4 linked regions of the Notamacropus eugenii genome follow. The protein of the gene in region 1 interacts with the protein of each later gene in a pairwise test. Links are inferred from orthologs where the notes say so. Each region holds a gene or a part of one and is shown on either strand. Other genes may lie near its edges.

Region 1 (7,034 bases):
ACGCCAGGCTCCCGAATGGTAACAGATGAAATATTGAATAATGAGGTCTTGAGAAAATGACAGGAACTAGTCCTGTAGGCATGGACATAGGGTTAAAACTGTGAAATTGTTCCCCAAATCAATCCATCACTTACTATTAACTGCCTACTAAAAGCTGGGTATTATGCTAGGCCCTGGAGATACAACAAAAATGAAATAGTTCTGCCCTCACTGTGCTAACTCTACTATAAAAGCCTGAACCTTCTGATGAATACAACTGATCTGTGTTTTAAAAAAACAAACAAAAAACCCTAAAAACCAAAGCAACATTCTTGCACTCTTTCTTCTTTCCTTTCATCCTTTCCCATCATCATACTAAATAGGAGGAGGAATGGAATTATATAAGCATTTGGATCCGGGCCCACTGTCATCATGGACAACCTTCATTAATATATGAGACCCTCATTCCTATTTACTAAAGAAATATGTGCCTATAAAGTAAAGCCCAAACCCCTTAGGTTCAATCATTCAACAAGCATTTATGAATTATCTCCTAGGTTCTATCTGAAGTAGGCAGGCTCAGTGGATAGAAAGAGCTAGCCTCAAAGCCAGGAGGGTATGGGTCTATGCTGGCTCTGAGACCCTGGGTAAGTCACTTAACCTCTCAGTATTCCAGGCAGTCCTCCAAGGTTGTACATTTCAGAACAATGATGACATGTACTGGTAGAGAGAGTTTCTTTCCCTGGGAATTACTCAAAACATCAAAATCACAGTTCTAATCTTTATCCCTAAATGCTAAACCCTGTGCCAGATGCTGGGGTTAAAAAGAAGAAGCAAGACAGGTCCTTCTTACAGTTTAGCTAGAGAGACCACCTGTGTGTGTGTGTGTTTGTGTGTGTGTGTGTATGTGTGTATAACACACATATATACATATATACCCACCCATACTTACATATACGTAAAAGTTGTGTATGCATGTGTGTGTACAAAACACTTACAAGGTGATTTGAGGAGCAAAGTGTAATAGCTGGGGGAATTAGGAAACTTTATACAGATGATTCTTGAATAGAACCCTGAATGAAGCAAATCATCCTAAAGGATGGAGGTGAGGAAGGAGTACATTTCAGTGTAGGGGACAGAACAGTACAAAAGCAAAAGGAAGAAGATGAAGGTGCCTAAGGGACAAGAAGAAGGCTCGTTTAGCTTAGCTGCCATGTACATGGAAGGGACCAATGTGTAGAGGCTAGAAAGATAGGTTGGAACCCGGCTGGGAAGGGCTTCAGATGCTGCACGGCAGGGAGAAGGGGATTATATTAGATTCTAGAGTTAACAGGAAGCCAAGGAGCAGGGGAGGGACAAGGTCAAACCTGAGCTTTAGGAAGATGACTTTGGCAGGCTGTATTTGGAACAGGGGGAGACTTGAGTCAGGCGAGAAGTAATGAGAGCCTCAACTAGGGTGGTGGTTGTGTTGGCACAGCATTCGAGGCCTTTTGCCACTCAGCCCCAACCTACCTTTCCAGTTTTATCTCAAATTTGTCTCCTACACACACCCTCTTTTTCAGCCAAATTGGACGACTTCATTGCCTAAAACATGCCTTAAGCTTTCTCAGATCATTTCTTGTTTCTCTTCCAGCATGGTCCTAGGAAATAGAACCTGAAGTCTAAGGGATGTAGAACCTTAGTCAGTAGGCTGTCTTCATCGCTGCCTATGTGGGTTTTCTGGATATACGCTGAAAATCTCAGATGTGCCACTTTCTACCTCTGTGACCTTCTCTTGTCCATCAGTAAAATGAGGAGATAGGACAGATGACCTCTAAGTCCCTCTAGCTCAAATCTGTGATCCCAAGTCATGTCAACCACTCTGAGCTTCAGGCAAGTCTGCAAGATTCAGCTAACAAGTGATTGACCATGGGCTGCCATTTTCTTTCGTGGAGGTTGTTCCCTCATTGTAGTCATAGCATCACAGGATCATTTAGACTTTAAGGTCTCTTCTGGGGTGTATGGGGGGTTCAGAGAGGACTAGCACATCTCATGTGAGGGCATGCTGAACTTTTATCAGGGCTGCTCATCCACCATTGGTGTCCACCTTCACCCAACTCTCATCTGTGGCTCCAAGAAGCTGCAGCATGTGCAGAGGCCACACTCTGGCACCATCGCAGCAGTTGGGATAAGTCAGGTGGTGGGCAACCGACAGGCCTCAAACTTGTTGGTGAGTCAGGGAGATGTCTACCCCAGGGATGTGAAGATTTCTCTCAACAGAATAAGCAGATGAAAACAATTTATTCTAATGGCCATGAAGGCTGCTGAAGGAGGAGCTAAGGAGTGCTTAGAGTTTGGTCAGACCCCAAAGAGGCCAAGGTCATCCACAACCACCTGGGCCAGTGCCAGTAATTCTAGCTTTTCTCTTGTTGCTGGACTTCAATGACTCCGGAGAGAGTGAGGCTGAAAACAGTGTGCAACTCTGCCTCGCTTAAATCCAATTCTCACACAAGTCAAGACATTACCCAGTGATGGCAATGACCCTCTTTGAAAATGAAGGATGAACAAGGTCCCTTGTCTAGTCCAATCTACTCATTTTACAGGGACTAGAGAGGTTACATTATTTATGACAAGGCCACACAAGTACTGAGAACCCAGGTCTTCTGCCTTCAAACCCACTGTTTTTCTCACTGTATCATGCTACCTCTTAGATCTTTGATGTATTAATGGATTGACTTTATATTACCTTTGTCACCTTGCATGAGTCTCTACTTCTTTGACCACAATCTCCTCATCTAGAAGATGAGTGGGCTATACCAATTGATTTCTAAGTACCCTATGAACCATGCTCATTTGGAAACCCTTATTAGTTTCCCAATTCTATAGTATTTTCACTGCAAGGTCAAGTGCACTGGGAGCTTTTTGTGATGATCAAGTTATTTTGTTTACTACTATTAAAAAGCATGAGGGAATTATTAGAAGCTTACCTTGGCTTCATCTTCCTCCAGTTGAGCTCAGCTGTGCAGGACTTTCCTTGGTAGAAGAATCCCTCTAGGTCAGAGACAACTGATGCTCTGTGTCAGACTCTGCTCTCTCCTTCTGTCTGCTGCCAGTATCGATTATTGTCTATCCCAGCTGTCTTCTCTAGTTAGCAGCATCAGGATAGCCAGCAGATTGAATCATGATTAGTGATGGATACAGCTGAGTTATGCCCAGGTCCTCCACTGTACTCTATTAGAGAAATTCAATTGGCCACTGGTTCCAGACCATAAATCACTCTGAGGAGGGTGTCAAGAAAGCCTCAGTATCTCTGCTCTTGAGTCAGATGGAAAAGTAATCCTGGGAAGAAAAAGTTGAGAACCAGAGATGTGGGACTATCAGTGCAGAATGTTGCAAACCCAGTAAGTTTAGATAGATTAATCCATATTTATTGCTGTTCAGTTGTTTTAGTCATATCTGACTTTTTGTGACTCCTTTTGGGGTTTTCTTGGCAAAGATTACAGGAATTGATTCCTATTTCCTTCCCAAGCTCATTTTACAGATGAGGAAACTGAGCTAAACAGGGCTAAGTGACTGACCCAGGGTCACACAACTATTAAGTGTCTATGGCCAGATTTTAATTCAGGAAGATGAGTCTTCAGACTCCAGGCCTGTCTCTATATCCACCGTACCCCCTACCTGCCCCAAAACATTTATTAAGAGCCTACTATGTGCCAGGCACTATAATAAGCAATGAATTTTGATTCATGTGTTATTTCCTTTTGCTGAAATGCTTTTTTAAAAAAAATTGCTAAAAATGATGGCTAACTAGGTAGGGGGAAAAAAAGAAATATTTTCAGAAATATAGGTGAAATAGAAACAAGAGATATCAATAAATATTTTTAAATAAAGATTGCATAGAAAAGCAACTGTACTGTAGGACTGGAGGTTAAATTTCTTGATTTTCAAAAAGAGAACAGAAAGAAATATGTAAACTCTATACCAATTGGCTTGACTTTCATTTCTGGCAAAATTCTAGAATGTATAATTAAATAAAGTGATATCTAGAAAAGAAGGCTGTGATCACAAAGAGTCAGTATGACTTCATGGAGAACAGGCCATGCCAGACTAACCAAATTTCATTTGGAAATTGGATTGGTTGGATTGAATAATGTCTCTCATTAAATTTTGGAATAGAGGGAGATGTGAGCTAGACAGCAGTATAATTGGTTAGGTTCAGACTTGGCTAAATGAGACTAGACCCTCAGATTACTCATCTGTAAAATGACCACACTCAAAGAATAGTAATTAATGGTTTGGTATCAGTTTAAATATTTCCGGTAGAGCACCCCAGTGATCTGTTCTTGGCCTCGTGCTGTTTGATATTTTCGTCTGTGACTTCAATAAAGGCTTACACAATACGGTTATTAAATCTGTAGGTAACACAAAAGAGGAAGGATGGCTAACACTTGGTTAAGGTAGTCAGAATCCCCAAAGATCTTGACAGGCTAGGTTGCTGGGCAGAATAAAATAAGGTGAAATTTAATATGAATAAATGCAGTCTTTACAATTGGGTTTAAAAACTCAATATCACAAATATAAGATAGGAGAACAATAGCTAGGACTCAAGGGTGTGCTGTTAAATATTTAACAACCAGCTTTCTGGGCAGGAGAAATGTGTGCTGGACACACTTTTAGTTTAATCTGCTTTATTAATACCTTCTCCATTTTGTTCTTAAGTCTAAAGAATCAACAGAACAACAAATCAAGCCCTGATTTGTAGCCTTTGATTTGAGGTATAAATGCTCACACTGAAAATTTAACAAACAGATACTTCCGGGGGCTCCCATACCTCTCTGTGAGAGGCTCTTTTCAATTATCTATTTGAGAAATTGCCACTTGCTGAAGACAGCTGGCATCTTTGTTTAGGCTACTCATTCGTTTCAGTCATGTCCGACTCTGTGACCCCTTTTTGGTGGCAAAGATACTAGAGTGGTTTGCCATTTCCTTTTCCAGTTGATTTTAGAGATGAGGAAACTGAGGCAAACAGGGTTAAGTGACTTGCCCCGGGTCACACAGCTAGTAAGTGTCTGAGTCTGGATTTGAACTCAGGAAAATGAGTCTTCTTGATTCTAAGCCCAGTGTACTACCCACTGTACCGCCTAGCTGCCCCTCTTTGTTTAAATACTGGGGGCAATAATGAAATAAATTTAAATAGATAGTAACCTTAACCACCAACTAGCTCAGAACTCTTTGTTATAGATTCCATCTTGAGCCTCATTTCTGTATTTTTCCTTCTGTTTTCTAGCCTCCCATTTTCTCAAATTAGAAGGAGAGACCTGATGATCTTTCCCAACTACACTGCAAAATCATCTTTGATGGTTTTCTTCTCTGTTCTTATACTATTGGCAAATAAATTTTGATTTGCAAAATGACCCATTAGTAGAAGGCTGTACCTGATGCATTCTGCTCAGGCACCTTATGGAAAGGTAGGTAGGTGGTGCAATAGAGAGAGTGCCAGACCTGGAGTCAGGAAGACTCCTCTTCTTGAGTTCAAATCTGGCCTCAGATATTTACTTGCAGTGTGACCCCAGGCAAGTCACTTCACCCTGTTTGCCTCAGTTTCCTCATCTATAAAATGAGTTGGAGAAGGAAATGACAAACCCTTCTAATATCTTTTTACAAGGAAACTCCAAAGGGGGTCATGAAGAGTCAGACACAACTGAAACAACTGAACAACAATAATCCCTTATGGAAACAGGCCAACCAAGTTGGAAGAAACCTTAGAGATCAGCTAGGCTAACTCCTTCAACTAACTAGTTAATCTAACCCTTCAACTTACGGCTGAGGAAACTGAGACCCAGCGGTGAAGTAACCTCCTCCAGGGAACCTTATTTTTCAGTTTCTAAAACATGAGAATTTATTGATCATAGATTTAGTGCTGGCCGGGCTATTGAAAGCCATCTTGTGCAACAAGGTCCAGAGAGGTAAATTACTACTATGCATGGTCATGCAAGTGACAAGTAACAGGATTTGCATCCAGATTCTCTCACTCCAAACCCAAACTTTTCTTCCCAACATGCTGTACTTTCTCTCATGAATTGCTAATAATACTAATTGCCCATCTCAGAGTTAGACACGTACGGTTTTATGAGAATTGGTTTTAAAATATCATCTAAACCAGGAGAACATTGTATATGGTAACAGCAACATTGTGCAAGGATCAACTTTGATAGACTTAGCTCTTCTCAGCAATACGATGATCTTAGACAATTCCAAAAGACTCATGATAGAAAATTCTATCCACATCCAGAGAAAGAACTATGGAGTCTAAAAGCAGATTGAAACATAGTATTTTCTCTCCTTCTCTCTCCCTCTCCCTTTTTGTCTTTCTCATGGTTTTCTTCTTTTGCTCTGATTCTTCTTTCACCATGTGACTAATGTGGGAATATGTTTAATATGATTGTACAAGTATAGCCTATAACAGATTGCATGCCATCTTGGGGAGGGGGAGGAGGAAGGGGAGGAAGGGAAGGAGAAAAAAATTTGGAACTCAAAATCTTGCAAAAGTGAATGCTGAAAACTATCTTTACATGTAATTTGAAAAAATAAAATACTATTAAGTAGAAAAATAAAAATATCTAAGGCAAAGTTTATATGAACTCATGTATGTATATAACACGCATATTTGTCCACATGTGTATACATACTGCACACATATTGCCCATGTGCATATAAATTTGCGTGTGTACCTATTACATTACACTATGTGTGTGTGTGTATGTAAATATATATATATGTATATATAATGTCCAGTTCTTTTCTTGAACTTACCTTTTCTTTGTCATCTCTTGTATTCTTCCTCCAAAACAGATTCTTTGAAAATCAAGAGATATAGCTTTTTATATTATAATTTCATCTTTATTTGGATCAATCCTGTGGTTACATTTATATAGGGAACTTCAGATTAGGAATTCCCTCCAACAAATCTTTGAGAGTTACTTGGGGATTCAAAGATGTTAAGTGACTTGCCCAGAGAAACATTCAGTACATGTCAGAGACAGGACTGGAACTCAAGTGATTGTATCTCCAAGGCT
Region 2 (7,036 bases), on another chromosome or scaffold:
TTGTTTGCCTCAGTTTTCTGAGCTGTAAAATGGAGACCCTGGAGAAGGAAATGGCAAACCACCCCAGTATCTTTGCCAAGAAAACACCAGTTGAAACCTTGATGAGTCAAACTGAAAGAGTCAGACTGAAAAATGACTGAACTATAACAACAAAAGGTCATGGGAGGATAGACTCTTGTGAGAAGAGCCACCCCTGGTGAGGATTATAAAAGAACGTCAACTAACCATGGAAGGGAAGGGAATTAACATTATATAGCACTTATTATGTGCCAAACATTTTGCTAAGTGTGTTAAAAATATTAATCTTACTAGATCTTTACAACAGCTTTGAGAGATAGGTAGAGTTATCTTCATTTTACAGCTGAGGAAACTGAAACCAATTTTTTTTAAGTGACTTGCCAAGGGTTACATAGGTTGTAAGTGTCTAAGGCTGGACTTGAACTCAGCAGAGAGGACCTGGGGTCTGGGAGGGACAAGGAATGAGATTTATATACATCTATATACTTTCTTCCCAGGAATGACTTTCTTGGTGCAGAAGCCAGTGGCACTTGCTAAGAATATCCAATTAAGGCCAAGAGATTATAGCCCCTAAGCTGTGTAGGAGTAGCAAGAGATCCTTGAGAAGCACAGGGTAGAGATGGACATATTCTTTACCACTTGACCCAAGAGGGGAGGGGTTCATTGATATTCTTCTTGAACCCAAGTGCTTTGCCAAGGAGAATGAGGAATCTTGATTTCCTAAGCAGTTTGGACTGGAGAGAGACAGAGACAGAGACACAGAGAGAGACAGAGAGAATGAGATTCTGGGAGATAGAAGAGGATTTCCCAAGTGAGCCCTGTAATTGGAGGAACTATAAGGGTTAAAATCTCAATAAAAGGAAGCAAGACATTGGTACCTTGCCTCCCTACTATTGAAATGATTAATTCAGACAGTTCAGTCTAATGGTAAGGTGGTTGCATATCCAGCAGCCCAAAAATGTTTTTGCCTTCTGGAATTTCCTGTATGTGGAGGAGGTGGGATGTCTCCTGCCTACCCTGGGACCTTTGGCCATTGCTTCTATGTGACAATGGGTTCATGTATTTCTAGTCAAGCCTGACCTGGGCTTTGGGCTCCTGGCTGCCTTTTATGTTTTGTTAGATTAAACAGTGATTGAGAGATGATCTTTTTGGAATGGCTATACTGAGAGTTTGGGAGTTCTTGGGTTCATCAGTTGGTGCTGGTTGCATTTCAGGAGGATTCCCCCACTGGAAGCTACTGTAATGTTTTTCAGAGAACTCCCAGGATGAAGATGAGTTCAAACCTCAGCCTGGTTTCCCAGAAGACATGGATCTGGAGGCAGCTGTTTGTATAGTACAGTCAAGGTGAAGATAAAATGCCCATTCAACAGTACCACCAAATGTTCCTTGTCTTAACATTTTAAATCTCAACCTCCTGGAAGAGCATGGTAGTGATTGTAAGTTGCAAGTTTGTGTTTGATGTGATCAACTCATGCTTGTGAGTTTTGTGTTTTAAGCATTTCTTTTGAATGAAGGAAATAAATAGCTGTCCTATACCTGATCTTCATTGTACAGAGTACCTTTCGATTTCCCTTTTTGGGGATACCCCAGACATGAGCCAAACTTGAGCTATAAGTAATTTTCCCTAGTACTAGGGGGTAGCAGTGAATAAAGATAGAGTGGACCAGAAAAGGAGCCTTACCCTTCTTTTTTGTTTCTTTTAAATTAGTTTATTTGTTTTCAGTTTTCTACAATCACTTTCATGTATCTTAGATATTTCCCCTCCCTTCCCCTCCCTCCCCCCCCCCCCCCCAGTATTATATAGGTTCTACACATACTTTCCTGTTAGATACATTTTCACCTTGGTCATGTTGCATAGAAGAATTAAAATGAATGGGAGAAACCATAAAACAAAACAAAACATAACACAAGAGAAAATGGTCTGCTTCATTCTGCAATCCAATTCCATAGTTCTTTCTCTGGATGTGGAAGGCAGTTAGCCTCAAGAGTCCATTGGGAATATTTTAGGACTTTGCATTGCTGTGTAGGACTATGTCTACCAGAAAAATTCCTTGCACACTGTGGTTGTTGCTGTGTACAAAGTTCTCCTGGTTCTGCTCCTTTCACTCAGCATCATTTCATATAAATCTTTCCAGACCTCTCTGAAGTCTTCCTGTTCATCATTTCTTATAGCACAATATTATTCCATTACATTCCTATACCACAACTTGTTCAGCTATCCCCCAGTTGGTGGGCATTCCCTTGATTTCCAGTTCTTGGCCACCACAAAGAGAGCTGCTATAAATATTTTTGTACATGTGGGACCCTTTCCCATTTTTATGATCTCTTTGGAATATAGTCCTAGAAGCAATATTGCTGGGTTAAAGAGTATGCACATTTTTGTAGCCCTTTGGGCATAATTCCAAATTGCTCTCCAGAATGGTTGGAGCAGCTCACAGCTCCACCAACAATGAATTAGTGTTCCAACTCTCCCACATCTTCTCCAACATTTATTATCTTCCTGTTTTGTCATGTTACCCAATCTGATGGGTATGATGTGGTATCTCAGAGTTGTTTTGATTTGCATCTCTCTAATCAATAGTGATTTAAGCATTAGGACTATAGATAGCTTTAATTTCTTTTTCTGAAAACTGCCTGTTCATATCCTTTGACCGTTTATCAATTGGGATAGGTTAGGTACTCAAGACACAGTAGTTAATGAATATAGCTTTTCTACTGTTTGATAAACCCAAAGACCCCAGCTTCTGGGATAAGAACTCACTGTTTGACAAAAATTGCTGGAAAAACTGAATAACAGTGTGGTGGAAACTGGGCATAGACCAATGCCTGATACTGTACGCAAGAATAAAGTCCAAATGGATACATGATCTAGGTATGAAGACTGATACTATAAACAAATTAGTGGAGCAAGGAATAGTGTATTTATCAGATTTATGGAGAATGGAGAAATTTTTGACCATACAAGAGATAGAGAACATTATGAAGTGCAAAATGAATAATTTTGATTACATTAAATTGAAAAGGTTTTGCACAAACAAACCCAATGCAACCAAGATTAGAAGGGAAGTAGAAAACGGGGAAAGAATTTTTGCAACTAATGTCTGTGATAAAGGCCTCATTTCTAAAATATATAGAGAACTGAGTCAAATTTACAAGAATACGAGTAAATCCCTTCTTTTTAAGAGTTTGGTTCCTCTAGGACTGAATGTGGTCTGTATGCATGAGTCCAGAGCTGGGGGGGTAGGGAGAGGCCCTTGGAGGGAGAGGGGTCAGCAATAGTCTTGTGTATTGCTATATATGGTAATATATTTAGTCTTAGGCAGAAGTAATCCAGATATTCATTCGCCTCAAGGACAAAAAGGAACAGAAACTCATGTCCAGTATATAAAAACAGCATATAGGAGTTATAGGGCTGAAAGGGAGCTTAGAACACATAACATAGAACGTCAGATCTGGGAGGACCCTTAGACCATAGATCACAGAATGCCAGAGTTGTGAGTGATCTTAGAGATCTTCTAATCCAGGAATTCTTTACCTGGGGTCCATAAATTTATTTTTAAAAAATACTTTGATACCTGCATTTGAATAAAACTGGTTTATTTTCTAATTCTATGTACTTTATTTTATGCTTAAGAACATTATTCTTCTGATTCTGAAGAGTCCTTAGACTTTACAGACGATCAAAGGGGTTCCAGACATAAACAAGATTGAGAACTTCTGATCTAGTCTAACACCCACTCTTTACAGATTAGAAAACTGAGGTCCAGAGAGGGGGCATAATTTGCTCAACATCATAGGTAATTAGTGGCACAACCAGGATGAGAATCTTCTGCTTCTTGGTCCAGGCTTCAACATACTCCTCTGTCTACCATATACTCCCTGGACAGAGGGTGGGACTGGACAAGATGGGCAGGAAGCAGCTTTGGGCTGTGCTCCCTGAGAGGCTGTAATGTGAGTCCGGCTGAAGGTGGGGGCTGAGAGCAAAGGGAGGGCATAGGGGCCTGATGCCAGTCAGGGATTTTGCTTAAATACTCCTGGGGGTGATTTAGTAATCCTCACAGTTGGCAGGGGACTGACTCCCCTATGCCAGGCTCCTTCCCCTGCTTTTTAAATCAAGTGATCACTGAGTTTAAGAGGAAAGCCATTAGGAGAACTGAACCTGAATTTAGACATGGGCAGCAAGCAGACAGTTTTCACTCCGGAACAGCTTGACGCATATCAGGTAAGAGCCCTGAGAGGGAGGAACAAGAGTCTGCCATTTGAACCTGGTTTAGTTCAACATATTAAGGGTCCACCAAACTAAATGTGAGTTCTTTTGCTTGGTCCTAGAGAAACAAAGATGAAAAACATCTATTCCCTCAAAGATCTTTCAATCTAAGGGGGATAAATAGGAATAACTATAAGACAAATTGGAATGTGATAAGGACGTACAAGAGGTTAAATAGAAAAGGTGAGAGATTTGGGTCAGGCAGGATCACTTCAGAGGAGGCTTCAAGGACATTTACTTTTTATTTTAAGAAAGGGAAGGATTTCTACCAGTAGAAGTGGACAAGGGGCATCTCTTCCTGTTATGGAGGATAGCTTGTGCAAATGCATGGAGATAGGAAAGGACAGGATGGGAAGAATGAAACTGAAAGATGTTGAGTTCAGTAGTTTGACTGCAATATAGAGAGAAAGGTGGTAATTTGCCATTAGGTTGGAAAAGTCCATTAGATCCAGATGACGGAGGGTCTTCAATATTAAATCAGGGAGTTTGGATTTTCTTTTGCAGATAGGGAGCCATTGAAGAGTTTGAGCAGGGTCTAGACCTGTGCCTTGGGGAGATTATTCTGGAAGCATGTGAAGGACAGACTGGAAAGGGGAGAATTCTCTGGATCTAAGATGAGTGCCCTCTGCTTTGACCTTGTGTCTCTTTTTGACTGCTTAGACTGCTCCATCTTGGATTATAGCTACTGCACTCGCTGACCTAGACTACATTTGTGTGGGGCTGAAACAATTCTACCAGAAATTCAGCTGTTTAAGGAAAAATATTTGTCAAAATGGTTGATTTGTGTTATAGTTTTCAGGTTGATAGATGACTGACCTTTGATGGCTGTGTTCATGAAGTCCAATGGAGATCTGGCCACCCTTATGAAAAAGCATATTTGTGGCACAAATAGGAGGATCTTTGCTAATTCCCTGCTCTCTGGAAAGGAGGAAGGGGAAGCTTTGATAAATCAACATTCTCTATGCCCCTTTCTTTGCAGGACTGCACCTTCTTTACAAGGAAAGAAATTCTGAGGTAAGTCTCTTCTGGGACGCACTCAGCCATCACTGGGAAGGTTCAAGCTGAAGGTAGGTGCTTATAGGATCATAGGATTTTTGAGTTTAAAGGGATCTCAGAGATCATATAATCCAGGGGTTCTTAACCTAGGATTTCAGGTTGTCTGTGAACCTGGGTGGGTTTATTTTAAAAAACCTTTGGTTTCTTTGATCATCCTCTGAATTTTATCTTATGCCTTTAAAAAATGTTATTTTGAGAAGGGATCTATAGGTTTTATCAGGTTGTCAAAGAAGCCTACGACCCCCTCCAAAAAGGTTAAGAACCCCTAGTCTAATCCAACTTCATCATTTTACAAATGAGGAAACTGAGGTCAATATTTTAGTAACTTGCCTAAGTTTCATACAGGCAACAACAAGTAACAGAGCGGGGATTTGAATCCAGATACTTTGACCCCCAATTCAGTATTCTTCCGTGTGTTTTGCTCAGAGCAATGCATCACGGGACAAGTATACCAGATAGCAAAACTGCAAAGCTGACAGTTTTGTTTTCAGGGCAGGGATGTATGCAATGATCTTGTCATACTCTCTCAAAAGAGAGATAAACACAGAGAAATGGAGGTGGGGGGGGGCGGGTAGAGCAAACTCTCTTCTTTTTACCATGAGCTTAACTGTGAGTTGGCATCATCAGGTCACTCTGCCAGGATTATAACTGATGATAATACTATTGATTGTTTGGCTTGATGCTGATTGACAGCTCAGTTGGCCAGTGACAAAGGACTTCTTGGCCGGTCCTCCCTAATTGAACAGGTAACAGTGAGAAGTACATCATGTTCCCTCTTCCTCATCCCTGTCAAAATCTGTCTCCCACAGCCTTCACTCAGACTAAAGTATAAAGTACTAGGAATGACTGGGATTAGATTTATTCTGTTTGGTACCAGAAGGAGAATCAGGGATAGTGAGTGGAAATTGCAAAGAGGCAAATTTAGGTTTGATGTTAGGAAACGCTTTCTAAAAATTAGAGATTTCCCTGAGTGGAATGAGCTGCTTAAAATGCTCAGGTTTCCTCTCACTGGAGGACTTCAGGCAGAGGCTACTAGGTAACTACTGGTAGGTTAGGTTATGGTGGGCGTTCCTTCATGTTTGGGTCAGACTAGATGGCTGGGGAGTTCCCTTCTAACTGTCAAATTATGTGATTCTCTAATTGATAGCTTCAAGGATGAGCCCTGGCAGGATATTGGGGGAAGGAGTGGTGAATTGTAACAGAGATCAAACCCTTAAATTAAAGGAGAGCAATTTGAAGAATAGATGATGGGATTTAGAGCAGCATGGGAGTTTAGGGATTATTTGGTCCAGAGGTTCTTATCTTGGTGTCTGTAAACATTAAAAAAAAAATGGGATAACTATTTCAATACTTTGGGTGCTCCCAAACTCTTAGTTTTAAACCATAATAGCTTAAAAGCTCTGTTAAGCTATTAAAGTTGAAAACTTAGATTAAAAGTCTTACTTTTAAACTTTAACAGATTAAAAACTGCGCAGTTTTAAGCTATCAAAATTAAAAACTAAGACTCCTGAGACACTCTGTGTAACTGGTTTTCTTTGTAATTTTATGTATTTCACTTAATGCATTATTCCAAAAAGGGTCCCATTGGCTTCACAGACTGCAAAAGGAATCATGACACAAAACAGATCAAGAACTCCAATCTAGTTCAATTCTCTCATCTTAGAGATGGAGAAACTGAGAGTCAGAGAGATGGTG
Region 3 (7,405 bases), on another chromosome or scaffold:
ATATTTAATCATCCCCATCTGACTTTCACATTTTTTTTTCCAGTTTTATTTCATAATTCTCTTCTTCATATACTCTATGTTCCTACCAGACTGGAATGTTAGCTGTTCAATTATGTTTAAAAACAATTCTTAATATTTATTTTTAAAAATTTTGAGTTCTAAATTCTCTCTCCAACCTCACTGTTCCCCAAACTTGACATGCTTTCTCCCAGGGTTTGTCTATACTATCTCCTGTGCCTGGAATGTGCTTCCTTCTTACCATTCACTTGCCCCAAGGCTCATTTAAGGTACATCTTCTTTTCTGAAGCTTTCCAGATCTTCCCATTTACATCACATTCTTTCCATTTTCAAAGTATTTATTATTTACATATCTGTATATTTTGTCTTTTACCAGTAGACTATGCCTTGAGGACAGGGTCCATTTGTTGTTTTTTGCCTTCATACCCCCAGCAAGCAGGCCTTTGGTAGGGAAAAAGAATGCAAAGGCCAGAATGATCTCCTGAGAACTATCTAATGCTACTTTATTTTAAAGAATAGTTATTAGCATTAATTCTGTAGTAACTTTGTAGTTACGGCAAATTGGGCCCTGAACTGTGAAATATCATGTTGTATATTTGTCAAAGGAGGAGAAACACTGGACTCCTCTGAGCTAGGGCAAAGTGCCTTTACCACAGCAATCTACCTTGAGGCCCACTCAGTCTCCAGACTTCTAACTTCTCAACCGCCTTGAGAACTGTCTTCCCACCCTGAAGATACTTCTGCCTTGAGTTTTGCTCTTCTGATTGGTGAGTCTCTAGCCAAGATTACCATTTTATGAGGGGTTCAGGCCATATTCTCTTCAATCACTCTCTAAACTTCTCCATCTTCTTTCCAGAGAAAGGAGATAGGCAATTGATCTAGTACCCCTCAACTCTACGACTCCCCTTTATGTATTGTCTTTCCTCCTTAGAATGTAAGTTCTTTGAGGGTAGAGACTACCCCTGAATCAGTCAAAACAAAAACGTGGTTGCACTTGTATCTTATTGAGGAATTATTCAGTCCAGAGATCCTCCCACTTTGGACTGTTTGACTGAAGGCCTATAAATCAAGAGGCAAGGCTAGAAGACATAAGGTTTCATTATCATCAGCTGGTAGGCAGTTGATAGGTGACTAGCCACAGAACCAAGGGAGGTACATACATACATAGGATTTTACACAGCAAAAGGTGTTTTTATAGTTTTACAGTGGCATAAGAAATCTCTCAGCTGAGGCAACTTAGGTACTTCCTTTATTGAATAATAGGGACAGGATGTCAGGTGATTTGGGGGAAGTGATGTTTTAAATGGAGTTTGGATTTGTTAACTTCATTTCTTGGGCAGCTAGTTGTAACAGTAAAGACCCTGGCATACACAGGAGGGCCTGTTGTACATGTTCTTAGATCTGCTTTTCTAAAAGGAAAATGACTTTTGAGGGATCAACAATCTATTTTAATCAAGCACATGTATCATTCACTTAGTTCAGGGGGAAAAGTTAGCACCCTGAACTTCAGAAAAAATACAGGCAGAGAAATAAAGATCAACAGACAGGGCTTCCAACTATCTGACCAGAAGCAATACATACATCACAGATCAACAGACAGATCCAACTTCACAGACCAATGTACATACATAGTTACCAGAGAGAGAAGCACCAATAAATATCTGGGTTTTTAAAGTCGGGGGGGCTTCTTAGCAGCTACCCAGAGTCTCCTCTGGCCAAACAAACATTTCCAATGAGTAAGCCCCAAAACAAAACCTCACCTCAGAGTATTTATACATTTTTCAGAGCAAGAGGGCAAGATCCCCTGATCCAGTGCTTCAATAGAAATTAGCAAAAGATATTGAGGCCTGTTAATGGGTGGGGAAGATCTTTAACTCTTCTCCCCCACCCCCTCCATTAACCTTAAATTATTGTTACACTTGGTGGTATAGTGAATAGAGCACTGGGCTTGGAACCAGGAAGATTCATTTTCATGAGTTCAAATCAGACACTGGATAAATCACTTAGCCTTGTTTGCCTCAGTTTCTCAGCTGCAAAATGAAATCTTTGCCAAGAAAACCTGTAAAATGGGGTCAAAAAGAGTCAGCTATGACTTGTTGTCTAAGGATTTACCAAGGATCCTGTTTACTCTGGTCACTAATCCTATCAGAACCTAGGTCTCCAAGGTAGTGGAAGCTTCCTTCCAGATAGAATCAATGGGCTTATCCTGTTGAATAAAATTTACACACTCCTGTAGCTCCTTTTGACCTTTAAAGCTACTTTTTCTGGAGAGATGTTTCCCCCAAACTTACAGCACACAGATTTTATCCATTTCTTCCACAATTCCCAACAAAAGTATACTTGTATTTGTATCCGCAGTATTTACTTCACTGCTTGGCACATAAGTGCTTAATAGATGCTCTATCTAGCCACTTAATTAATACTTGGTCCCCACACATTTCATCATGCATTTCTATGTTTTGCATAAATGGTCTTCCCATATTTGGAACGTATTCCTTCCATCTCCACTTCTTGGAATCCCTTAGTTCCCTTTTCTTTCTTTCTTTTTAAAATTTATTTACTTATTTTTAGTTTCCAACATTCATTTCCACAAGATTTTGAGTTCCAAATTTTCTCTCCATGTCTCCCCTCTGCCTACCCCAAGACAATGTGCATTCTGATTACTCCTTGCCCCAATCTGCCCTACCTTCTATTACACTCCTCCCTTCCCTCATCTCCATCTGATTTCTTGTAGGGCAAGATAGATTTCTATACCCCATTACCTGTATATCTTATTTCCCAGTTGCATGTAAAAACAATTTTTAACATTCGTTTTTTAAACTTTGAGTTCCAACTTCTTTTCCTCTCCCTCCCCACCCATCCCCACTGAGAAGGCAAGAATTTGATATATATTATACAAATATAGGCATGCAAAACACTTCTATAAAAGTCATGTTGTGAAAGACTATATTTCCCTTCATCCTATCCTGCCCCCTATTTATTCTATTCTCTCTTTTGATGCTATCTCTCCTCAAAAGTGTTTACTTCTAATTACCCCCTCCTCCCATTTGCCCTCCCTTCTATCATCCCCCCTAGCCCTCATTTATCCCTTTCTCTCCTACTTTCCTATAGTGTAAGGTAGATTTTCATACCAAATTGAGTGTGCATGTTATTCCTTCCTTGAGCCAAATGTGATGAGAGTAAGGTTCACTTTTCCCCTCTCACCTCCTCTCTCTTCCCCTCCATTCTTGCCTCTTTTATGAGATAACTTGCCCCATTCCATTTCTCCCTTTCTCCTCCCAATATATTCCTCTCTTACCCCTTAATTTCACTTTTTAAAATATCATCCCTTCCTATTCAACTCACCCTGTGCCCTCTGTCTATATGTATATAACCCCTCCAATTACAGAGAAAAGTCTCAAGAGTTACAAATATTATCTTTCCTTGTAGGAATATAAACAGTTCAGCTTTAGTAAGTCCCTTATGATTTTTCTTTCCTGTTTACCTTTTCATGCTTCTCTTGATTCTTGTGTTAGTAAGTCAAATTTTCTATTCAGCTCTGGTCTTTTCTTCAAGAGTGCTTGAAAGTATTCTATTTCATTGAATGACCATCTTTTCCCCTGAAGGATTATACTCAGTTTTGCTGGGTAGGTGATTCTTGGTTTTAATCCTAGCTCCTCTGACCTCTGAATATCATATCCCAAGCCCTTCGATCCCTTAATGTAGAAGCTGCTTAGCTTCCTCTTCAAAGAGCAGTTCAGATGCCACATTTTAAAGGCCTTTCCTATTCATCCTATTGATTAGCACTCTCTCATTCTCTAAATTACTTTGAGAATATTTTGCATTTACTTACTTGTGTACATACCTTATCTTCCCAATGGAATGCACACTCTTTGAGCATAAGGACTGTTTGCTGTTAGTTTTGTTTTTGTATCCCCAGTGTCTAACACAGCACCTTGCCCATATGAACAAATATTAAGTTGAATTGAATCCTATTGAGTGTCTCCCTCAAGGTCACCACAGCAAAGAATGTGATCGCGTTTCCAAATGACTGCTTTCAGAACTGGACAGCTCCAAGGGGAGTCTAAACAGAGCCTGGGTTAGAGGCTCCTCATCCAACTGAATTAGCCTTGTGAACTTGGGCAAGTCCCTTTCCTCCTGCGTCTCAGTGTCTTCATCTACAAAACGACATTATTTATTTCCAAGTTCTCTTGCAGCTGTAACGTTTTCTATTTCATGTTGGTCTTTCAGCCTGATATTCTTTAGTCTTAGGTCCCTTCCGGTTCTAAATCTTATCCCGCGCATTCTTGCTCTTAGGGTCCACGGGATCCCTTTGAGGCGAGTCGAAGCTGGGACTACAACTCCCAGAATACCCCGGGGCGCACCTCCTCCCGCACTTCCGGCGTGCGGCGGCAGCGGCGGGTAGCTAGTCAGGGCGACGGCTGCGGGCGGAGGGCGGCGAGTGACAGGTCGCTACGGGGCGGGAGCCAGGGTCGGGGCCGGGACCGGGGTTTTTGGGGACTAGCTTTTCTGCTTCTCTCGCTCGTCCGCCCGCGGTGACCTTCATGGGCCGCGGGCCCCCCGCCCCGGGGCGGCTGAGGAGGGCCGTGTGAGGCGGCAGCAGCGGCGGTGACTGAGGCCGAGGGAGACTGAGGCGAGCGAGGCCCGGGCCCGGCCGGAGCCGAGGGAGGGCGGCGATGTTCGTGCAGGAGGAGAAGATCTTCGCCAGGAAGGTCCTGAGGCTTCACATCTGCACCATGGAAGGCACCGAGTGGCTGGAGGAGGTCACCGAGGATACCACGGTGGAGAAGCTCAAGGAGCGCTGCCTCAAACACGTAAGGAGCCGCCGCCGAGCCGGCGGGCCCTGCCTCGGGCGCCCCTCATCCCCATGCCCCCGGCCCTAGCCTCCCGTCCCTCGTCCCCTCCTTCCGACCGTGGCGCACAGCCGAGAGCCGATCTGCCCTCCGTTCTCTCCTCCGTTTACATTTTCCTTCCCTCGCTGAACCCCCCCCCCCCCTTTTCTTTCCTTTTCACTCACTCTCGTTTTCACTGATGCTTCTTCACTCCATCCTTCTCTCCTTTTCCCTACTTACAGTTTTGTCTCTTTGCTTTTCGTCTTCTCCTAAAGTTTCGTTCTCCTTTTTAATCTACTTCCTTCCTTCTTTCTTTTCTTTCCATTTCTGTTTTTTCTTACATTTAACCTCTTTCTCCCCTTTTCTTCCTTTCTTCATTTTACAGCTTATTCCCCCAGATAATCAATAAGTATCAGATACTTACTATGTGCCAAGGCAATGTTCTAGGTTCTGGCGATACAAATAACGAATGAAACAATCCCTACTTTAGAAAGGAACTTACTTTCTCATGGAGGAGTAAGCAATAATACCTGTATTTGTATCGGCATAGCTATTGGGGTGTATCTGTGTGTGTGTGTGTGTGTGTGTGTGTGTGTGTGTGTGTGTGTGTGTGTGTGTGTGTGTGTGTGTGTGTAGGAAGAGAGAGAGGCATATAGGTACATATGCGTGTGTATATAGCTACAGTTAATGTAAAGAAAGTAAAAAATGCAAAATAATTAAATTTAAAATGGTCCGAGAGGGAGGGAACTGGAGATTCAGAAGCCCCACCCCTTCCTCTAGTGTTTTCACATTTTTTCTGGTTTTAGACACCTTTTCCTTTTTTCCACATTTCTCCTCCCTAATTATAGTTTCCTGTGCCCTTCTTACTACTTCTAAACTCATCTAACTCATTTTTCCATTTCTTTTTGCCCATTTGTGTTTTCCTTCCTTAATCGCTTTTCTGCTTTCCTTCTTCCCCTCTTACATTTCCATTTCTTGTTATCTGTCTTCTATATCTCTTCCTCCTACAGTTCTTTTCCTTTTTCCTCCTTCCCTCCTTTTACTTCTGGTTTTTCACCTCATCCCCCTTTGTTTTGACATCTTTTTTTGACCTCGTTCAATAATCCTTAGTCTGTGAACTCATTTTCACCCACCTCCATTCTGCTTCTCCTGGCTTTTTCTTCTTTCTCTTTTTGTAGTACAATGGATTCTGGTCCTAACTTTGCTCCCAACAAGCTGTGCAGCTTTAGGCAAGGGAAAGCCTTTCTGGACCTCAGCTTTTCCATCTGCAAAATAAGATGCTTGCACCAGATGATCTTTAAAGGACTTTTCTAGTTCTCACATTCTATTATTTTCTTCTTTTCTGAGGTAATATGAACTACAGAAGGAGATAGGTAGGACACTAGACACTTACCCTCATTACATAATCTGCTTCAACTCTTTTGATGATTCAAGGAAATTTTGAAAAGGATCTTTATATTCCTCTGTCACTTTCAGTGATGCACAGTAGGGATAAAGAGGCAGAATGGCCCCCTGAATAGAGTTAAGAAGACTTTGATTCAGGCTCTGCCTGTAACACATACTGACTGTGTGACCCTTAACCTCTCAGTGCTCTAGGCAGAGAAGGTGCTGACCTTTGTTGGGAAGAGGATTTCCTAACCTGAATTTCCTATATCTATGAAATCACAGGTCCAGGTCAATTCCTATCTTTCTGGTGAAGTTTTAATTTTTTTTTCAGTTTCACCATGAACTCATAGTTAGTGTTTTAAGGCACACTTAAATGAAGTCATAGAAACATTAAAACTGTCTCGATAAAACCTGGCATTTTGGACTATTCTTGTTAACTGTTATTTGTGTTGCATGTTCTCCACAGCAGGGTTTAGTTTTTTTTTCCTACTGTACTTGAAACCACTAAAACGTTACCTCTCCTCTCAAGGCATTCCTCTTTGGTTTGAAATTACTACCTTTAAGAAAAAAAACTAAAAATGGATTCCTGATTTCTGATTTTCTGAAGTGACCACACTTTTAAATTTATTGTACACAAATGAAATGAGTTAGTGTGTGTGTATGTGTGTAGCTATCATATATTATATAACTGATGGCTGAAACGAATTCCTGGAGACTTACTCATTTCTGTAAACTTTAACTTTATAACACAATTCATAGACCAAATGTATAAATGCCTAGTCAATACTTGTCACTATGTTACATAAAGTGTTGTGCCAGAGGCCATTGTCTCATTAGAATTGGGAAAAAAGCTGTTGATTGTGTCACCACAGTAACCCGTTAGTGTGAAGTGTTTCTTTATGTAATATTCATGTTATAAGATATATGTGACTATGGAATATGCATGTTGTAATAATCTATGTGTGATACATTAATTATCCTTGAATGTTAAAATATGGGTAAATTGTAGCCCAGAGATTCCTTGGTGTTATAGTAGCTGTCTAAAACATTGATTTATAGTTATTTTCAGAGATTAATGAAAACTATTCTGCAGAGTCGCTATTTTTATAGGGTTATCCACTAAAGTATGGAGCGTAGCCTGCTACTGTTTATTTACTTGCTATAGAACT
Region 4 (6,832 bases), on another chromosome or scaffold:
CTCTAGCCCCACACTGCCACTCTCCTTGTTCTAAACTTTATAATCCTCTGCTGCCTATCTCTAGTGACAAACTGCTTAAAGCCCACTGCAATCTGGCTCCCACATTCCTTTCCAATCTTTTTTCATAGGACTCCCCTTCACCAATGATCAGTTCTTGTCAAACAGAAAGACTGTCGATTTTCCTGGATGTAGCTCTAGGGATCATCCTCCCTGATCCAAATTTTGTCTCTGGGCACTCTTCACATGACACATGCCTGGAAGGCCCTCCCTGCTCAACCTCACGGTCCCTTCAAGACTCAATTGATGTTCCATCCCCTCCTCCCCAAGGTCTTCCTTGATTCTACCTTGCTCCTCCGTTTTCCTTGTCCTATAAATATTTTTGTTCACATCGTGTCCCCTAACATAGAATATCACCTCCTTAAGAGCAAGCAATATTATTTCTCCACATCCTCCAGTCCCTAAGAGAGGTGCTTAGTAGGAGCTTAATATATTTTGAATTGTTCTGGTTTTCACAGCAGATCAGCATGGAAGTCATTTGTTAAACACCTAATTATGTCTATCACTGTAAGTCTCACTTTCCACAGCCAACATCAAATCTTCTCCCATCCTCCACCCCCCCAAAAGTCATATCATTTGTCCTCTTTGAGAATGAAAGATGGACAAAAATAACAACCCCCCTCAAAAAAAAACACCTAACTAAATCCAATGCACCACTTATCGATAAGCTTAGGTCACAAAGCCCTTGTTTCTGCATCAGTTCCTACCATGTCAGAGAAAATCTTAGAAATGTACTCAAGAAAGACAAATACTGAGGAAGAATCCCAGTCCCCATCGTGCATCTCAAACACCCAATCAGATAGATACACAATCACAGTAGACCCAGTCTTACTCATCGTTGGTTACTCAGTTACAGGCTCACATAGAAATATTGAGCAAACCCAGGGAAATAGTCACCAACCCACCAGTCTCTCTTAAATACTGACAGACACAATCCTAGTCACAAACACAGAGAGGTACAGATAAACAGAGGCAGAGATGAACAACATCAGACAAGAAATCCATTCCAGACAGATGGACACAAAAACACACACAGTCCCAGACAGAGCCCCAAATGTAGAGTGGCATATAGATTGGCAGACACATGGAATTGTCATTATCTCTGTCTGTCTTTAATTCTAACTTTGTGGTCCCAAACCTATCATTAAGCCCCCATAGACACATGACTGTCTCCACGCGCAAGGACATTGTCTGAAAACGATTCTGGTGGAAGGGCCCAAGGATAATAGACCTCTAAGCAATGAATTCTCAAGTGATGGGCAGCATCTACCCTATGACCTACGGTGATTTCAGACACTTCAAAGCAGGCTCTGGACCCCTGAGGAAGGCCTGATATCCCATCATCAGGACTTCATTCCTTTGAAGGCATTTAACCCTGACAAAATGCCAATATGTGGGAGGGTCCCCTAGCCAGTCATTTCAGTCACTGACTCCTTTGTCAAAGAGATTCATCTGTTCTTTTCCTAAGATCAGATCTGTAAGGGAAGATTTGAGCCCTGGATGCCTGAGGCAGAGTAGATGGGGACAGGAAGGTCACAGAAAAGAGAAGCCAGGGGACGCATGCACTTCATTTACCTGACAATGGCCTCCTGACCAGCCTCCCTTCCATCTCTTGCCTCACCTCTAGATGATATTTCTGGCATAAATTACCAAGTATCTTCCTAAAGTCCAGGTCTGACCATGTCCCTGCCCTGACTTTCCATGGCTTTCCCACCCTAGAGGGGAAAAAAAGGCACTGCAGTGGGTACTTGAGATGTTCTTCTAACTGGCCCCAACCTACCCCTGCAAGGTCATGTCTCCTTCTGCTCCAAGCACCATCCCCTCCTCATTCGTCTGCCCTAACCTTTGCTCTGTCACCCCTTTTTCTAGATGTCCTTCCCCCTTTTGTTCTATAAATCCTCTCCATCTTGGGCTTTCAGTGCTTGACCCAAGACTCACCTGTGGGAAGCCTTCCCAGACCATTCCAGCTCTATCTGAGCAGACAGCCCCTACCTATTCTTTGGCTAGAGATCTTGGCCTCTGCCCTATGATACTGGATTCATTATGGATTAGCTATCTTCAACCTTGTCTTAACTCTTCTAGGAGATTGGAAATCCCTAGAAGGCAGACACCCAAATATTTGTTAATTGGCCAAATCACAGGCTAGTCCAAAGGACAGGATAGTGGAGTGTCAATATGCTGAGGACTGAGGATCTCAAAGCTGACTGGAGAGATAGGAGTCAAAAATCGAGGAATAGGAATTGGGATTTTGAAACTGGAATCTCAGGGCCTGGGGTCTGGGGTCTGGATAGGGAAACAATCGCTTCATAAGTCAGGGGACCGTCTATGGTGACAGGGGCTCAGAGTAGAAGAGATCTGGACTGGGCCCCATAACAGGATCTATGAGGACTGGGGTTTAGGGTAAAAGAGGTCGGGACTAGGAGGGAATCCCGAATAAGTCTTCTCTCAGCTCTTTTCTCCCCCCCACCCCCAGTTCAGGGGCTCAGCCTCAATGGCACCGACAATTGCCCGGGGGTAGATCTCGCTCTTTTCCCGGCAGACTGTGTGTGGTGGCGTACGCAGCTCAACTGTCCCAGCAGATCTCCCTGTCGGGGGGATAATTCCCACTCTCCCCTCGCTCTCCACACTAGTCCTCGATTTCCAGGTGCAGCTCCCCAGCCTTCGGGACAGACCTCCGTTCTCCCAGCAGGTCCTCCTCCCCGTACAGGGACAACTCCCTCCCGCCAAGCTCTCGGGACAGAGCCTCATTCTCCTGGTCCAGATCCCTAGCCTTCCGGACAGATCCCCGTCCTCCGAGGGGATTCCCCTGCCGGGATAGATCCCCATTCTCAGAACTGAATCTGCTCTAGGAACAGACCCCTCGTTTGACTCACCCGCCGGTGCAGCAGTGACTCAGTCCCAGCTCTCGGGGAATGCGCTCCGGTCTCCTCCGGACGTCCCGAGCAGCACCGGGGCCGGGCGGGTGAGTCAAGTCGGGCGTGGCCGCTGGAGCTGAGGAGCCGGAGCTGCTCCGCCCACCTGGTCCCGCCCCTCACCCCAGCCCTACTCGGGCCAGAGACTGGAGGGAAAGGGAAACTGAGGCGGAGGGTACCAGGATTCAAATGTCTGGGCTTTCAAGCAAATCAGGGGAGTCTTCTAAACTGGGCAACGTAGTTGGGTTCTCTGGGGACAGAGCCAGTCATTTGAGGTCAGCCTCAAAGGAAGCTAGATGACTGTCCTGTAGGACTTTGTACTGGACCTTCAGGGGAAACTAAGCCTTAGGCACTTAACAGGTCATTCTAAGGGAAAAAAAGATTCAGGCACCCTGCCTCCCGACTGTCTAGCGTTTCCTTCTCTTCTCCCCAGATCAGCAGTTCCAGCTAAGGGAGAGGGAAAGAAGTGGGGTCCTTTAATGATTTCCCCTCAGCCAACCAATCCCCAGACCAATCCAGAAGAGGGAATATTAGGGAGTCAGCACCAAGGGAGTTAGAACCCTCATCCAGCCACTCCTCCAGGGGGTAGTGGTTATGTCCAATAGCTGCAGGGAAACTACATGGCCAGCCCAAGGGGTTCCACTCCTTTCACATCAGTCCTGCAGGCTCATCCGGCTCAGAACAAAAATTGGGGAAGAGGAAATGTAGGATCTTAAAAGGCTAGTTAACCCAAGGGTTGGAAAGAGAGAAGAGAGCTTCTGATGAGTAAACCTGGACATAGATTCTGATAAGAGGGAGCAGACAGTAACTAACCTATGTCCGTTCTTCCCTCTGACCAGTGGAGCCTCTATGGTCACCAGCAGGCAGAAAAAGGAGGGTTCAAAGGAAGGGCTCCAGGCATTGGGACCTGAACAAGGACTTGAGCTGGAGCTCTCCTGTCTCCCAGGGATCCTGTCCTACCTAGCTTCACTTAAACTATATCTATCTTCCCTGTCTGTTCCTAAAGAGGGTAAGCTGGCTGAACGGAGAGCTAGCAAAGAGCTCAATCAGGGGATGTCAGGTTAGGTGAGCTGAGCATAAGAGGTCAGTCCTTTGAGTCCTTAGCTCACCTGAGGCACTGTGACTCACAGGCCACAACCTCTCCTTCTCTTCTCATCTCTCTTACACTTTTATCATTTTTTTTTTTTTTTGCCACATTTTCCCTCTTCTCCCCCCATTGAAAAGTAAAGAAGCTGAGGAGGCTTAGAAAATGCACAGACACCTAAGTCTGTGGAAATTGGAGATTTCCACTACTCTCCCCTTCTCTCATCTGATGCTGCCACCCCTCTTGTGCAAGCCCTCATCACCTCAAGCCTTGATTATTACAACAGCCTACTGGGGGAGGGAGGGGTTCTGCGGGCCTCAGGTCTCTCCCCACTCTGTCTTTCATTCAGCTACTAAAATGATTTCTCTAAAACTTTGATCTAATCATGTCACCTTCTTACTCAATCAACCTCAATGGCTTCCTATTGCCTCCAAAAGCAAATACAGAATGCTTCGGTTGGTATTCAAATCCTTTTGTAACTTGGATCCTTCTTACCTTTCTAGTTTTCTTATACCTTGCTTCCCAATACTTTCATTTCGATCCAGTGACACTGGCCTCCTGGCTATTCCACAAACAAGGCATTCCCTCTCTTGGCTCTAGGCAATTTCTCCAGCTCTTCTACATGCCTGGAATGCTCTCCCTTCTCTACTCCAACTACAGACTTCCCTGGCTTCCTTTAAGAGCCAGCTAAAATCCCTTCCTTTATTGGAAGTCTTTACCAACCCCTCTTAATTCCAGTGCCTTTCCACTGTTATATATGTCCTATTTACCCTATTTGTAGCTTACTTTGAATGTATTTGTTTTCGTGTTTTCTTTCCTAGTGTAAACTCCTCCAGGGCAGGAACAATCTTTTGCCTCTTTTTGTATCCCCAGCACTTAGCACATTGACAATTAATAAATTTTTTAATGCTTTTTTCCAATTATGTGCAAAAATTTTTAACATCTGTTTTTTAAAATTTTCAAGATCCAAATTCTGTCCTCAATTTCATGTAGATTACACATGTGCAATGATGCAAAACATATTTCCACGTTAGTCATCTTGTGAAAAAAAAAACAAAGACCAAAAAAAACACCACCCCAAAATAAGGAAAATAAAGTTTTTTTTAAAGTATGTTTCAATCTGCATTCAGACTCTATCACAATCTGCATTCAGACTCTACCATTCTTTCTCTGGAGGTGGATAGCATTTTTACTATCATGAGTCCTTTGGAATTATCTTAGATCATTGTATTGCTGAGAATAGCTAAGTCATTCACAGTTGATCATTGTATGATATTGCCGTTACTGGGTACAAAGTTCTCTTGGTTCTACTTATTTCACTTTGTATCAGTTCATGTCTTTTTCTGAAAGCATCTTTCTCTTCATTTCTTATAGCACAATAGTATTCCATCACAATCATACCACAACTTGTTCAGCTATTCCCCAATTGATGGGTAACCCCTCAATTTTCAATTCTTTGCCACCATAAAACTGCTATAAATTTTTTTGGCACATATAGATCCTTTTTCTTTTAAAAAAAATGTCTTTGGGATATAGACTTGTTGCTGGGTCAAAGGATAGGCCCAATTTTATAGCTTTTTGGGCATAGTTCCAAATTGCTCTCCAGAGTGGTTGAATCAATTTGCAACTGCATCAACTGTGCATTAGTATTCAGACTTTCCCACATTCCTTCCAACATTTGTCATTTTCCTTTTCTTTCTTATTAGCCAATGTGATAGGTGTGAGGTGGTACCTTGGAATTATTTTAATGTGTATTTCTCTAATTAATAGTGATTTGGAGCATTTTTTCCAATTGACTTTCTTCATCTGAAAACTGCCTGTCTATATCCTTCAACCATTTATCAATTGGGGAATATCTTATGTTCTTATAAATTTGACTCAGTTCTCTATGTATTTGATGAATGAAGCCCTTATCAGAGAAACTTGCTGTAAAATTTCCCCAGTTTTCTGCTTTCCTTCTAACTTTGGCTTCATTGGTTTTGTTTGTGCAAAATCCTTTTAATTTAATGTAATCAAAATTATCCATTTTGCATTCTGTGATGCTCTCTGTTTTTTGTTTGGTCACAGATTCTTCCCTTATACAGAAATCTGACAGGTAAACTATTCCTTGCTCCTCCAATTTGCTTATGGCAGGACCCTATTTGTTTAAATCATGTACCCATTTTTACCTTATCTTGGTATACAGTGTGAGATGCTGGTCTATACCTAATTTCTGCCAAACTGCTTTCCAGTTTTTCCAGTAGTTTTTGTCAAATGGTGAGTCCTTGTCCCCAAAGCTTGGATCTTTGGGTTTATAAAACATTATGTTATTATGGCCATTTATTACTCTATATTGTGTACATAATCTATTCCATTGACCTACCACTCTACTTCTTAGCAAGTAATCAAATTGTTTTGATGATTATTGCTTTGTAATACAATTTGAGATCTGGTATTGCCAAGCCACCTTTCTTCATATTTTTTTCATTGATTCCCTTGATATTTTTGATAGATCTTTTGTCCTTCCCTTCAATATTTATTCTACCCTCTGGTTCTAGAATATCAGGGAAGTTTTCCTTGATAGTTTCTTGAAAGATGGTGTCAAGGCTCTTTTTTTTAATCATGACTTTCAAGTAGTCCCATAATTTTTAAATTGTCTCTTCTGGATCTATTTTCCAATGAGGTATTTTACATTGTTGTTTTTTCATTCCTTTGGTTTTGTTTGACTGATTCTTGATATCTCATAGAATCATTAGCTTCCACTTGCCTGACTTTAATTTTTTTTGCTATTTATTTTTTC

Evidence for each region.
Region 2: the proteins of TRIM2 (region 1) and CIB3 interact in binary tests that used the Homo sapiens proteins (3 or more experiments, as listed by UniProt). The two-hybrid records come from large-scale screens. The link is inferred for Notamacropus eugenii from reciprocal best matches to the Homo sapiens genes TRIM2 and CIB3.
Region 3: the proteins of TRIM2 (region 1) and UBAC1 interact in binary tests that used the Homo sapiens proteins (3 or more experiments, as listed by UniProt). The link is inferred for Notamacropus eugenii from reciprocal best matches to the Homo sapiens genes TRIM2 and UBAC1.
Region 4: the proteins of TRIM2 (region 1) and LRRC8E interact in binary tests that used the Homo sapiens proteins (3 or more experiments, as listed by UniProt). The two-hybrid records come from large-scale screens. The link is inferred for Notamacropus eugenii from reciprocal best matches to the Homo sapiens genes TRIM2 and LRRC8E.

What each region holds. Positions count from the first base shown.
Region 1 is NC_092877.1:151,306,223-151,313,256, reverse strand, and holds the start of TRIM2 (tripartite motif-containing protein 2), read right to left. Parts: upstream 3,012-7,034; 5' UTR 2,946-3,011; intron 1-2,945. UniProt on the Homo sapiens protein: UBE2D1-dependent E3 ubiquitin-protein ligase that mediates the ubiquitination of NEFL and of phosphorylated BCL2L11. Plays a neuroprotective function. May play a role in neuronal rapid ischemic tolerance.
Region 2 is NC_092875.1:59,264,156-59,271,191, reverse strand, and holds the start of CIB3 (calcium and integrin-binding family member 3), read left to right. Parts: upstream 1-4,014; 5' UTR 4,015-4,189; coding exon 4,190-4,240; intron 4,241-5,264; coding exon 5,265-5,299; intron 5,300-7,036. UniProt on the Homo sapiens protein: Acts a an auxiliary subunit of the sensory mechanoelectrical transduction (MET) channel in hair cells. Plays a role in regulating hair cell MET channel localization and function.
Region 3 is NC_092872.1:490,824,356-490,831,760, forward strand, and holds the start of UBAC1 (ubiquitin-associated domain-containing protein 1), read left to right. Parts: upstream 1-4,390; 5' UTR 4,391-4,694; coding exon 4,695-4,832; intron 4,833-7,405.
Region 4 is NC_092875.1:51,719,757-51,726,588, reverse strand, and holds the start of LRRC8E (volume-regulated anion channel subunit LRRC8E), read right to left. Parts: upstream 3,017-6,832; 5' UTR 2,931-3,016; intron 1-2,930. UniProt on the Homo sapiens protein: Non-essential component of the volume-regulated anion channel (VRAC, also named VSOAC channel), an anion channel required to maintain a constant cell volume in response to extracellular or intracellular osmotic changes.